2 linked regions of the Yarrowia lipolytica genome follow. The main gene of each other region encodes a partner of the protein of the gene in region 2 in a complex. Links are inferred from orthologs where the notes say so. Each region holds a gene or a part of one and is shown on either strand. Other genes may lie near its edges.

Region 1 (6,380 bases), on a different chromosome or scaffold from region 2:
GAACAAGGGTGTCATCACCCCCGAGAAGCTTATCGCCACCCTCTTCCCCATTCTGCTCATCACTGGCAGCAAGCAGCTGCGAACTCAGATCTACTCCAACATTGTCACCATCGTCAAGGGTGCCAACACTGGAAGCAAAGCTCAGAAGCTCAACAAGTCTGTCCAAGCACTTCTATTTAATGTTCTGTCCACTGGAGAGTCTTCTGGTCTGTGGGCCACTAAACTGACCCGAGAGCTGTGGAGACGAGGTATTTGGGACGACTCCCGAACTGTGGAAATCATGGCTCAGGCTACTCTTCACGGAGAGGCCAAGATTGCCATTTCTGGTGTGCGATTCTTCCTTGGCGCTGACAAGGAGCGAGAGGAGGCTAACGCCGAGGACTCTGATTCCGATGCCTCTGCCGAGATCGGTGCTCTTAAGCATCGACTACAGATCAACAAGAACTCCCGAAAGCGAGGACGAAAGGCCGAGTCTGCCATGAACAAACTGCTGAAAAAGCGAAAGGGTAACGGTGGTGTGTCTGCCACCTACCTCAACTTTTCCGCCCTGCATCTTTTGCGAGACCCCCAGGGTTTTGCCGACCAGCTCTTTACAAACTTATGCAAGTATAGATACGATCTTGAGCAGAAAATTCAGATCATGAACCTCGTGTCTCGAATGATCGGCACACATAAGCTCACCGTTCTGGGCATCTATTCTCATTTCCTGAAATACCTCACCCCCAAGCAGAAGGACGTCACTCAGATCATGGCTGCCGCCGCGCAGGCTTCCCATGATCTCGTGCCCCCTGATGCCATTACACCCATGATCCGAAAGATTGCTGACGAGTTCGTCTCTGATGGTGTTTCTGCCGAGGTTTGCTCTGCTGGTATCAACACCATCCGTGAGATTCTGGCACGAAATCCTCTTGCTATTGAGGCTCCCCTTCTTCAGGATCTTACTGCTTACAAAGGCTCCAAGGCCAAAGCAGTTGTTATGGCTGCTCGATCTCTTGTTTCCCTCTACCGAGAGGTTGCACCCGAGATGCTTGCACGAAAGGATAGAGGTAAGGAGGCATCCATGGCTATGTCTGCTGACGCTAAGGCCGGTACCTCTTCTCGACTCCAGTATGGTATTGAGAAGGGCCAGACCGGTATCGAGGGTCTCGAGCTGTTGGCCAAGTGGAAAGCTGACCAGGTCCAGGAGGAAGATGATGAGAAGGCTTGGGAGGTTGATTCTGACTCTGATGATGACTCTGACGACTCTGAGTCCGGATGGATCAACATTGAGGACGATAAGGAGTACAACATTTCTGACAGTGAAGACGAGGAGGAACTCGACGACGAAGCCAAAGCTGCTAAGGCCCAGGCTGCTGCCGACGCTGCTGCCGAGGCCCAGAACATTATGGCTACCAAGATTCTCACTCCTGCTGACTTTGCCAAGCTCGAGGAGCTCAAGGCCCAGGCGGGCTTCGACAAGCTCATGGGCAAGAAGCTCACCAACGAGGATGAGGTCGATGCTCGTGGCCTGATTGGACCTGTCAAGTACAAGCAGCTGCGAGAGGAGCGAATTGCACAGGCCCAGGAAGGACGAGAAGGACGAGAAAAGTTCGGTTCTCGAAAGGGAAAGCGAGACGCCCCTCACTCCACCACCAACAGAGAGAAGGCCCGAAAGAAGAACTTCATGATGACTATCCACAAGAAGGATGTCCAGGGCAAGGCCAAGAGATCGCTCATCGAGAAGAAGCGTTTGCTGAGAGCTCATATCGACAAGCAGAAGAAGAAGGGATTCTAGTTATAGATGGTTCAGTTATAGCATGGTATAGAAAAAAGGTATTATTTGTTGTATTGATATTATAGACAGCGGATCCACCACTGACAAGCTGTATTGTATTGTATATTAGTAGTTAGTAAGCGTCTGGTGACTGGTAATAGTATGGATAGGATGGCCGTATTTCGTAGGTTGAAAGTTGGCTAGCCATTCCGCCACCTTGTTGACCGTCAAAGTCTCCTCCAAGTACTTCTTGCGGTTGAACTTTTGTTCCACAGAGTATTGTGCAAGCTCCTTTGATTCAGTCACATCAGTAAGATACACGTCGTGAACAGAGTTCCACCTTCCAGGCTGGCTGTTTATCGCGTCGTAATCATCACCATGGTAGGATACTTGGTGGTAAACTTCGTCAAAGTCGCCACTGAGTAAGTCAGTGACACGCTGGAGGTACACAACCTCGTGATGAGGCAATCGGTCGATTAGATTTTGCCATTTTTGCCTGTTCTGAATGTAAACTTGCAATGCTCTGTGACTTGGCCGATGTAAAATCTCCGTCCTCGGAGCATTCAACACAAGGGCATCAGCGAGCGGAGGTGTAGTAGATTCGTCAATAATATCTTCCAGCTTCACAACAGGGGCGTGGTTCGAGTTGTTTCCCTCCATTTCCACGTCCACACCATCGACGCCGATTCGTGTCCCTTGTGACCCTGCTGGGTCAGCTTGCAACTGCGACCCAGAAATCAACTTTCTGTACTCACTCCCTGAGATCCTCATGATTGGTCTGAGAAGATCAGTGGAGAAGAACAGGTCTTGAGGGCTCCAATTCAATGAGGGTGCCTGATCTAGACACCACTCATCTTCATGATTGACTGAATCATTTGTAAGGTGTCGGAAGTTGGGGACAAGGATCATCTCAGCTTCCACAATGTCCTCATCGAAACATTGACAGTCCATGCACCTTCGAATCAAGTCAGCAGTATACCAAATTTTGTATGATTCGTACTTCTGTGGTATGAGGGTTTCTTCGGTGTAACAGATGTTGTAGGTATTGTTTGATGGCTCAGGAGCCAAAATAGCTCCTCCTTTTTCTAACATATGTTTCAGGTCTGCGAATTCTTTCCTTTGAAGATCTCCTTCCGGAGGCAGCACAAAGAAAAGCAAAGGGAGCAACCCGTCCGACTTGAATGTCAACCCAATATTTTCAGATGGCGGGAACATGGGCAGCTCCTCCCCATCGCCAGAGTCACCATCGTTCTTGAATTGTTCATTGTTTGGTAATAGTACCTGACCCAGGTCCTTCAAGTTACTGCCGTGTCCGTTCATGGGTTGCCACAAACTACCATATGAAACACTTTTTCTCCAGCCGTTGATCAGTAAATATCGATGTCGTGCAGTTCATGAAGATGCAGATATGTTGTTGTACATCTCATCTGCAGTTAGATGAATGTTAATTTTTTAGGTGACCAAAATGAATATGCGAATGCATGAATTCTCATCAACACAACGATCAAGATGAACCAACAATGGGACGACAGCCAACTCGTGGCGACCTGGGATAAGGCATACGAGGAATATCTCAAGTACCATAAGAAGAGCACGACGGAAGGTGCAGTGATCAATGAGATGAGAACCGACAAGGAGCAGAAGGAAATGCCAGAAGAGGATGATGATGCGGATATGAACGACACAGCCGACACAGCTAACAAGTTGTTAGAAGCTGCTGAGATATCCAACATTTCTAACGACGAAACCTCAATGGCGAACCCAGGATCCGGATCGGCATCGGCACCCACTGGACCTTCTTTGGATCATCTGGACGAGAGTGTTCGAAGTCTAGTCATGGCTTGGTATTGGGCAGGGTACTACCAGGGATTATATGAAGGTAAGAAGTAGGGGACCTGTATTCATAATTCTATATACAGTGCACTCCACACAGCATATCTAAACTCATTCCGACCCAATGGCACTCCATAAAATTGATTATTTATTGCTTTCTCTCACACTCGTAAGTGTACAAGTATATGTACCGTATCATACAGTAGCTACTTATTACCTACCTACTACTCATATTTGTAACGACAAGTAGTTGAGGATGTCCGCATCGCCATTAGATTCTAATATATTGTAATAAATGCACTTTTTTTTAGATGGATCCTTTATTTCTTGTCAGATTTGCCCTTGGCTACACGCTTGGGCTTTTTGTTCTTGGACTTCATGTCAACGTCCAGTCCTGCCTTCTTTCTCTGGATTCGCTTTCGCTCACCAAAGTTCTCGGCCTCCATGTCCAGAACGGCCTGTCTCTTGGCAGTGGATGCAGGGGTGAGATACTCCTCAACGACCTTGTCGTCTTCGATCAGATCGTACTTCTCCATCTTGGTACCCACTCTCTCTTCGATGTTCGTCACACGAGTTACATCTCGTTCAGTGACAAGAGAGACAGACTGGCCCTTTCGTCCTGCACGGGCAGTTCGACCGACTCTATGAATGTAATCGTCAGCATCTGCTGGAAGGTCAAAGTTGATGACCATCTCCACAGTAGGGATATCAAGACCTCGAGAAGCAACATCAGTGGCCACAAGAACTCGGGCTGCTTGGGCTCGGAATCGTCCTAGAGCGTTGACTCGCTCCTGCTGTCGCATCTCAGAATGAAGAGAGGCAGTCTTAACGTCCAGAGCCATGAGCATTCGTCTCAGGGTCTCTGCAGTCTGAGTTCGGTTGACGAAGATGATGGCAGACTTCTTCTCGTTATCTGGATGAGTGAGGATAGCCCACAGGTAGGCTTCTCGTACGTAACCAGGTAGGAATAGATATGACTGGGTAAGAGTGCTAGGCACGGCAATGTCTGATGCAATCTCGTGGATGAATGGCGGTCCCTTCTCACCGGTTCTGTCCTTCAGAGCTCTAACAGCGTCGGTAACAGTGGCTGTGAACAACAAAGTCTGACGCTTTGAAGGATCGGGGAGAAGGTCCATGCAAGTTTTAAGGTCAGGAACGAAGCCAGGAGTCAGCAGTCGATCAGCCTCATCCATAACTACATATCTAACCCGTCGGAATCCTCGGATGGTATCCTCACCACTGCTTCGAATATGATCAGCCAGACGACCAGGTGTGGCAATGACGAAATGGGGCATCTTTTGAAGTTCCAGACTCTGCTTGACCATATCAACTCCACCGTAGATGAGCGCGACTCGAATGTTCATGTTGGCTCCAAGAGCTGTAAACTGCTCCGCTATCTGGATGGCTAGTTCTCGAGTAGGGGTCAGAACTAGACCAAAAATACCACAGGGATCCTTGGACCATTCAGCCAGCATGGGAGCAGCAAATGCGATAGTCTTACCACTACCAGTTCGAGCTCCTCCAATGCAGTCCTTTCCCTTCATGATCTGGGGGATACAGGCTTTCTGAATAGCGGAAGGCTTGGTGATAGCCATGTTTGAGAGAGACTCATTTAGCCACTCTGGCAAGCCTAGATCGGTGAAAGACATTTTATCAGTGTTGGTAATCGAAGATCTGCTTTTCTGGTTACAAGTTTCAATTTTTTTCCAACGATTATGCTGGTCTAAAGTTTAACTTTTTAAAACAATCGGCTTAGTAAGCATAATTGATGGGGGTAATCGTTGAGATTGAAACTGTGTGCAAGCCTTTTATGTCATGATATATAACGACCAGCAACGGCCATTTTTTATTTACCAGCCTCATATGGTCATTGATGATCTTTAAGTGTGTCGTTTCATAGTGACTTCCTGAAAGTTTCATGCAACCACACTGGACGACTTGAAATCATCATTTCCAACACAACGGCATCACGACACAATGGGTATTACAGAAAGTGAGTACGAACAGAGACATTGATCGGAATACCAATCGCTTCAACACAACAGCGTCATTCATTACTAACTCAGACGAACCCACACCTCTACGATGTGAGTACACACAGATCGAGACAACATCATAGCCACAGCATTGACCATTGACTAACTCAGCCACGGAGGGATGGATCATCATTGTCGACAACCTACATCCAGAAATTAGTGAGGAGGATCTCACAGACTTCTACAGCACATACGGAGATGTCCAGGTAGCCCACGTCAACCTGGATCGAAGAACTGGTTACGCCAAAGGGTATGCTCTCCTCCAGTTTGCCACCAAGGACGATGCCGATACAGCTATTGCAGAGACTAACGGAGTTGAGTTTCTGGAGCACAACCTGGAGGTGTCGTTCGCCTTCCATGAAGCAGACACCTCCATTTCACAACATCGAATTCGTGGATCTGAGAATCGGAGCAGGAGTCCTGGACGAAGACGATAGGGTGAAGGCAATACACGGGGAAACGGCAGCCCTTAAAAATCATGTGTTTGTAAATCTATATTTATACCGATTCTATTAGATCTGTCCGTCTATGGAGACGAGTTGTAGGCGAGATCACGCCGAGGTCAAGGGGTAGCTCGACATAGAAGTCATTAAATAGTTCAGCAACACTGGAGTCTTGCGACATGTATAGCTTTCTGTATCCATAGAAGTGGCGATATCTTTTGAGGAGTTGTATGTTTTCTGCGTCTTCGTTGACGAGTCAACTCACTGCACTGGTTTAGATTCCACCATGCACAAACCCCGAAACCTAGTGTATAC
Region 2 (6,389 bases):
GCAAGGACTGTGGCGATACCAAGAAGAAGTCTCGCACTGGAGGCAGTGGCGGAAATGCACAGCAAGGACAGCATCCTTTGGTTCTCGTGGACCAACCTCCTTTTAAGAACACCCCTGGGGGAACCAACATTTCGAAGGTGCACAACAACGATCCCAACTACACCTCGTTAGAGTCGTATCTCGACAACCTGGATGTCGACGCAGTGATCCGAGCAGTGTACCCTCTATTGGAGTTCAAGGACTCCGTCATGTCTTCCCTGGAGTCTTTCTTTGGCGACTCCGATTCTTCTACAGCGCTCGGCATGATGGCATCTTCTATTTCCGACGCTCTTTCCTCATTCACTAACTCAATCATCAACCCAATCATTAATCCCATCTTGGAGGCAGTCACTGAGATTCTACATGCATCTGTCACTCTGCTGTCATACCACGATGATCAGATTGACGTATGGATTAACTCAAAGTCCACCGATCCCACTCATTCTCGACTGTCTAAGGACCATTTTGCAGCATACCTAAACGAGCCTGCTGGCCTCGTGGCTGCAGAGGTGGTCAAATACGTCGTTCCCTTTGTGGTAGAAGCCTGGGAGGATCCCTCTATTGATCCTCAGACTGTTGTGGATGAGGCACTCCAAACATTCCATCATCCTGCTCTTGCACACACCAAGCTGCATCGAATCATGCGGGCCGAGGTGGATCGATGGATTCAGACCTTCTCTGACGAGGAGCGAGAGCATATTCTGGAGGGCCTTACCTCTAGAGGCGTTCTTCATGGCCACAATAATGCTGAGCACTTGGATGTGAACAACGTTACTTACGAGGACCCTTTTGATCATACTGGTAGTGAAGAGAAGGCCTCAACCTTCCTTGATTACATTGATTACTTTGGCTTCTTCAACCAGCAGGGTTCCGGCTCTGGCTCTGGCTCTGGCTCAGGCAGCATGAAGCGGGAACACAAGGATAAAGCCGAGGATGTGGCCAACGACATGGATGCTGAGGGAGCAGCTGACTCGGAAAAGCATCATCAAGACCATGCTGACACGGCCCAGAAGAAGGCTAAGGACAATGCAAAGAAAGGCGAAGCCAAGCATAACGAGAAGGCCAAGGCCAAGGCCAAGGCCAAGGCCAAGCCTAAGCCCAAGTCCAAGAAGTCTAAGAGTCAAAAGACGCATTTCCACGACCATGCTCACCATGTCGAGGACCATCCTGACATGGCCAAGCAGCAGGCCGCTGAGCAGGCTGCCTCTGCTCATGACGAGGAGGGTTCAGCTAGACGAAAACCCCAACAACCATAGACTAGATAAGAGTACCTACATAAGCGTTGTGCTTGACATAATTCCCTCTCTCCAGTGTCAATAAAATATTTAATAGACGACGACTCCAGTGTATACACATCCGATACAAACAAGCATACATATATACATATTGCCATGAACATGGGTATCTCGGAAAGAAAGCGTGACCGGGTTTAGCTCTATAGGATTTACTCTTATCAGCTCATAAGACGGTTGTGTCTCTCCACTCATATCAAGCCATGTTAACACACGGCCTCGAAACGCTTATCCTTATCGACGATTAGAGCTCGTCCAAGGGAGGGAAAAATAGCCGTGAGGGGCAAACCGATCTATTCAGGTTGTTGGTAACTGCCGCCTTTTCTGCACCTGTTTCTCATTCTAGTCTCGCACTAAAATCAACACCCGCTACTGGCAGCTCCAAGCGGGGGGCATGGGTCAAGTATTGGTATTAGCTGCGATAGTGTATGATAAGCCAATTACGACCACACTCTAAAGGGTGGGAGAACTGCACGCGACTCTCTCAAAGAGGGGAATTAGAATGGACTCCTCGAAGCCTTATTCCAACCCGTTCAATAATCACCCAAGCACGGGCATGTATGTTTATGTGTTTTCAGTGTTTCGGAACATCCACGGCAGTGCCGAGATAAGACTTGAGGTATGCAGGAGTGGGTCGAGATGGGTCAAATTTTTATGCGTGTCAATTGAACCCTAATATATATATTTTGGTTCCAGAAAAGCGACCCTACTTTCCGTTTCTACCTTCCGTCACTACACACACACAATGTCTTCCTCGCCCATTCCCTCCAACGTCAACGTGCTTCCACAGACCCGGCAGCTTCTTGGTCTCTACTCCATCATCCGGGACAAGAACACCTCTCGGTCGGACTTCATCTTCTACTCCGACCGAATCATCCGTCTGCTTGTCGAGGAGGGTCTCAACCAGCTGCCCGTGACCGATAAGCTCGTTAAGACGCCAACCGGCGCTGAGTTCAAGGGTCTTGCATTTGAGGGAAAGATTTGCGGAGTCTCCATTATGCGAGCTGGCGAGTCCATGGAGCAGGGCCTTCGAGACTGCTGCCGGTCCGTGCGAATCGGTAAGATTCTCATTCAGCGAGACGAGGAGACCGCCCAGCCCTCTCTATTCTACGACAAGCTGCCCGAGGACATCTCTAGCCGATTCGTCTTCCTCCTGGATCCCATGCTTGCCACTGGAGGTTCTGCCATGATGGCCGTCGAGGTTCTCATTGCCCGAGGCGTCCCCCAGGAGCGAATTCTCTTCCTTAACCTCATTGCATCTCCCGAGGGTATTGCTGCTTTCGCTGAGAAGTTCCCCAACGTCCAGATCATCACTGGTGTCATTGACGACGGTCTTGACGAGAACAAGTGGATCCAGCCCGGTCTCGGAGACTTTGGCGACCGATACTACTGCATTTAAATCCGGTCTCCCTGGAAACAACTCACATACCCTTCAGTATATAAAAACATAATCGTATATGATTGCATACTTGTAATAAATGTTAGCTATGGATCGTTTGTGTGTGTGTGTGTGTGTGTGTGTGTGTGTGTGTGGAGATGATGGATGAGGTGCAATCTAAACTGGTTCCGGGGGCTCGATGCTGGATGAATCAACTCATTGTAGAATTGCCTGGTCCTTCATTCATACCCTCCTCATCATTTGCCACTTCTATCTGTCTTTGTTGTGAGGTTGGATCCAGTGCTTGTATGTTTGTCTCTGCTTTTGCTTGAGCTTCCGCGTGAGCTTCTGCCTGTGACTCTGCTCCCTGTAATACCAGATTCTCCTTGTAGATGCGCAATTCCTCCTTTCGAATGTCGGATTGACGGAAAAACTCGATCTGCTCGTCCGTCAGAGTCCGTTCAACTCCATCAGGATAGAAGCCCAGGGAGGGCTCAGTGTCCTCGTCTTGACCTGCCTCATCAAACTTGATTGTGCCCTGAAACTCGCCTAGATGTTTCTTATGGAACTCCAGCAGATCCTGGGTCGAAATAGACATGTTTTTGGGTGGCGAATGGTACAATAATTGAGTGGCCACTTACACAGACTGCATATTGGGTGTTTTGATTTTGGATGTGGTTTCGATAGAGGAGTATCAAAGCTAATTTTTCTGCCCTCATGCAAAGCCAAAAAAATATTTGCAGCTAGTGCAGATATTTTGGCAGGACTTCCCATCCATCTTCTAACCACACAGCATACATCACAATGCCCAAGTCAAAGAGAAACAAGGTCATCGCTCTCACCAAGGTCGAGAAGAAGACCCGGGAGGACAAGGAGGTGATCGTCGACGAGATCCACAACTACCTCGACGAACACAAGTACTGCTTTGTCTTCTCAGTAGAGGGCATGCGAAACACCTTTTTCAAGGATCTCAGAGCGGACTGGAAGGGCAGCAGAATATTCTTTGGCCGAACCAAGATCATGGCCAAGGCTCTCGGCAAGTCTGAGGAGGATGAGTACAAGGCTGGACTCGGCGCACTGTCTGAGTACATGTCTGGAGATGTTGGTCTTCTGCTGACCGACGAGGAGCCCCAGGTCGTCAAGGATTACTTTGAGTCTTTCGTTCGGGAGGACTATGCACGAGCCGGCCAGGTCTCTACCGTTACTTTCACAATCCCCGCCGGCGTTGTCCATACCACCGGAGGTAAGATCCCCGCTGAGGACGATGTTCCCGTTGTGCATTCTATGGAGCCCACTCTCCGATCTCTGGGTATGCCCACTCAGCTCAAGGCCGGAAAGGTGGAGCTGTTCGCCCCCTACGAGGTCTGCAAGACTGGCCAGACTCTGGATTCTCGACAGACCCGTTTGCTCAAGCACTTTGGCGTCACCAGCTCTTTCTTCAAGGTCCACACTGTGGCCTACTACGACTCTGAGAAGGAGGAGGTTAAGCCCTTCATTTCCGCTTAGATGTCTCGGAACATATTAATCAATCATTAGACACGTTTCAATAGAATAACTATGGGAGGAAAATATTGTAGTTTTACGCTGTATTTCCTTGTACAGTAATTTGTGCATATCTAATTTGTAGTCATTTTCCATGTGGGTTAGCTCAAATTTATTCGACACCTTTTATGCAAGGCGCGGTGCTGTCCATTATCAACCTCAAAAACTTTCGACCATGAGCAAGAAATCGTTGGCCGCCGTTGGAACGCCACTGGATGAGCTGAAGGAGAACCAGACCATCGCCAAGGTCGCCCAGGCCAAGGGCAGCAACATATACGAGGTGACTCTGCCTCAAGACTTCTACAAGAGCCACGGGTTCAAGAGCCCAGAGGTCCAGGTTGAGATGCCACCCAAGTTCAGACAGACCGTGTGGGTCAAGCGGGGTGGCTTTGTTGTTGTTGACGTGACTCCCGATGACAAGATTGCCGGTGATATCATCGAGATCGTGGTGGACGATCGCACATGGCGAAAAATGCCCTACTGGCCCGCCGAGTTCAAGAAGGTCGGTGGATGGCAGCAGGATTCCGACGAGGAGGAGGCCGATCCCTTTGCTCTTCCTGACGACGAGTCTGATGAGGAGGAATACGAGGAGGAGCAGAGTTAGGGGGTGAAGGGGTTCTAAGCGGTGTATATATACTGGAGATGATATACAGTTGGACACCTTCTCTCTGTCACACGACCTGACGCAACAGCTAGACCCATGTCAGAGTCGTTCAAAAACTACAGCATGTAGCTAATCTTTAATACATTCATATAATAAAGCACACTTGCAATTGTACTGTAATGCTTTAAAGTACAGGTACCAACAGCGATAAGCGTGAACAGAAATAAAGAGTAAGCCAACTGCTCTATGTTCTGATACACGCTAACAGTACTTCACGCTACACGACATGGGCACGACTACGAGGTCCGTAACTTGGTATACAAAGACAGGCGCAGATACAATAAATGAGCGGCTACGCGTTACACACGGCTGTCCTCCGCCCGACACCCATCAGGCCCTCTTTTCAACAATATATTCATGCAGCACAATAAATACGATACTTCTATACGTGGCATGCGGGGTTACCACAAGCTCCAGCCGTCGGGGCCTCGTTCCAGCTCCTTGATTTCGGAAATGTCTCCATTGGTGAGGTGTCCGTAGATGTGCGCAAACTTTTCGTTTCGCGATCGCACAAAGTCCCACTGTAGTCGACATCCGGGCTTGCAACCCACGGCACCCTCGGTTAATGGGGCGCCGGGAGTGTCGGGAATGTCAATCGCCAGCAGATAAACGCGGTCGTGCTTGTTGAAGTACTTGTTGAGCGTCTCCAGCAGCTGAGCCTTGGTGCTAAGGTGGATGAAGCCGTCCTGGATATCAAGGGGCACGCCAGGCAGCACGGTTTCGGGGTTGACGGTGCCGTTCTGAACAGCCTCGGCCGGCAAGGATTCCAGAATTTTGTAGATCATGGCTGCGGTCGCTTGAGATGGGTGGTTTTTTAAAAAGTCGGTCTTTAGAAAAAGGCAGACTAATAATCTCCTTGGTGATGTGTAGTGAGGTGGGTGGAGTGAATATCCAAATTAGACTTAGACGGATTATAGTGCGTGGTGCACACACCCGCTGGAATGTGCCTGCTGTACCTTTCGGAAAATGAAAATCGCAAAGTTAATCAGCTCGCTTGTGTAACCGAGCTGTAACTGTATGGACTGAAGTGGGGCGGGTGGCACCAGCTGACACGAGACTCTGACACAGCGAACATTTTTAGGACTACCGACTCGAGACCTTATCAGGAGACCCCAAGACTCTATCCTGCCAACAAGTCTGTTTCAGAGTTCTCAAATAGCTTTCTCCTCTTTGCTGGCTTGCTGCACGGAATAAAATAACGCCCATCACGCAGCATACATATATGGTGTCATTTCCTGTGAGAAGTGCGGTACAAGACAGGAACCAGGCATAGCAGCCAATTTTTTTTATTGCAACACTTGCTTCTATTCAATAATGTACTGTTTATATTATTACCTAGGAGTGGCGTCGATTCCCGCCTCTCCTTGATTTACCCCCACCACATGCAATTAATCCAAAATGTAGTTACCCAACTTGTCCATCTTGAGGTTCTCAATGCCTCGCTCAGCAATGGCCTTCTCGAGGGGATCCTCCT

What was found. Proteins that work in one complex are often made in the same cells at the same time.
Region 1: YALI1_F38998g (region 2) and YALI1_E03183g share a complex: the UniProt entries of both Schizosaccharomyces pombe proteins name them as parts of the core SMN complex. The link is inferred for Yarrowia lipolytica from reciprocal best matches to the Schizosaccharomyces pombe genes gem8 and smn1.

The regions. Positions count from the first base shown.
Region 1 is NC_090774.1:315,248-321,627, reverse strand, and holds YALI1_E03183g (uncharacterized protein), read left to right. Parts: upstream 1-3,262; coding exon 3,263-3,643; downstream 3,644-6,380. Other genes in the region: YALI1_E03220g (uncharacterized protein), read left to right, coding at 1-1,774; YALI1_E03185g (uncharacterized protein), read right to left, coding at 1,880-3,073; YALI1_E03163g (uncharacterized protein), read right to left, coding at 3,907-5,235; YALI1_E03158g (uncharacterized protein), read left to right, coding at 5,564-5,579, 5,653-5,673, 5,734-6,059. UniProt on the Schizosaccharomyces pombe protein: The SMN complex catalyzes the assembly of small nuclear ribonucleoproteins (snRNPs), the building blocks of the spliceosome, and thereby plays an important role in the splicing of cellular pre-mRNAs.
Region 2 is NC_090775.1:3,896,588-3,902,976, forward strand, and holds YALI1_F38998g (uncharacterized protein), read right to left. Parts: upstream 3,308-6,389; coding exon 2,921-3,307; downstream 1-2,920. Other genes in the region: YALI1_F38954g (uncharacterized protein), read left to right, coding at 1-1,295; YALI1_F38986g (uncharacterized protein), read left to right, coding at 2,077-2,730; YALI1_F39001g (mRNA turnover protein MRT4), read left to right, coding at 3,514-4,215; YALI1_F39009g (uncharacterized protein), read left to right, coding at 4,346-4,855; YALI1_F39022g (uncharacterized protein), read right to left, coding at 5,317-5,700; YALI1_F39041g (uncharacterized protein), read right to left, coding at 6,304-6,389. UniProt on the Schizosaccharomyces pombe protein: The SMN complex catalyzes the assembly of small nuclear ribonucleoproteins (snRNPs), the building blocks of the spliceosome, and thereby plays an important role in the splicing of cellular pre-mRNAs.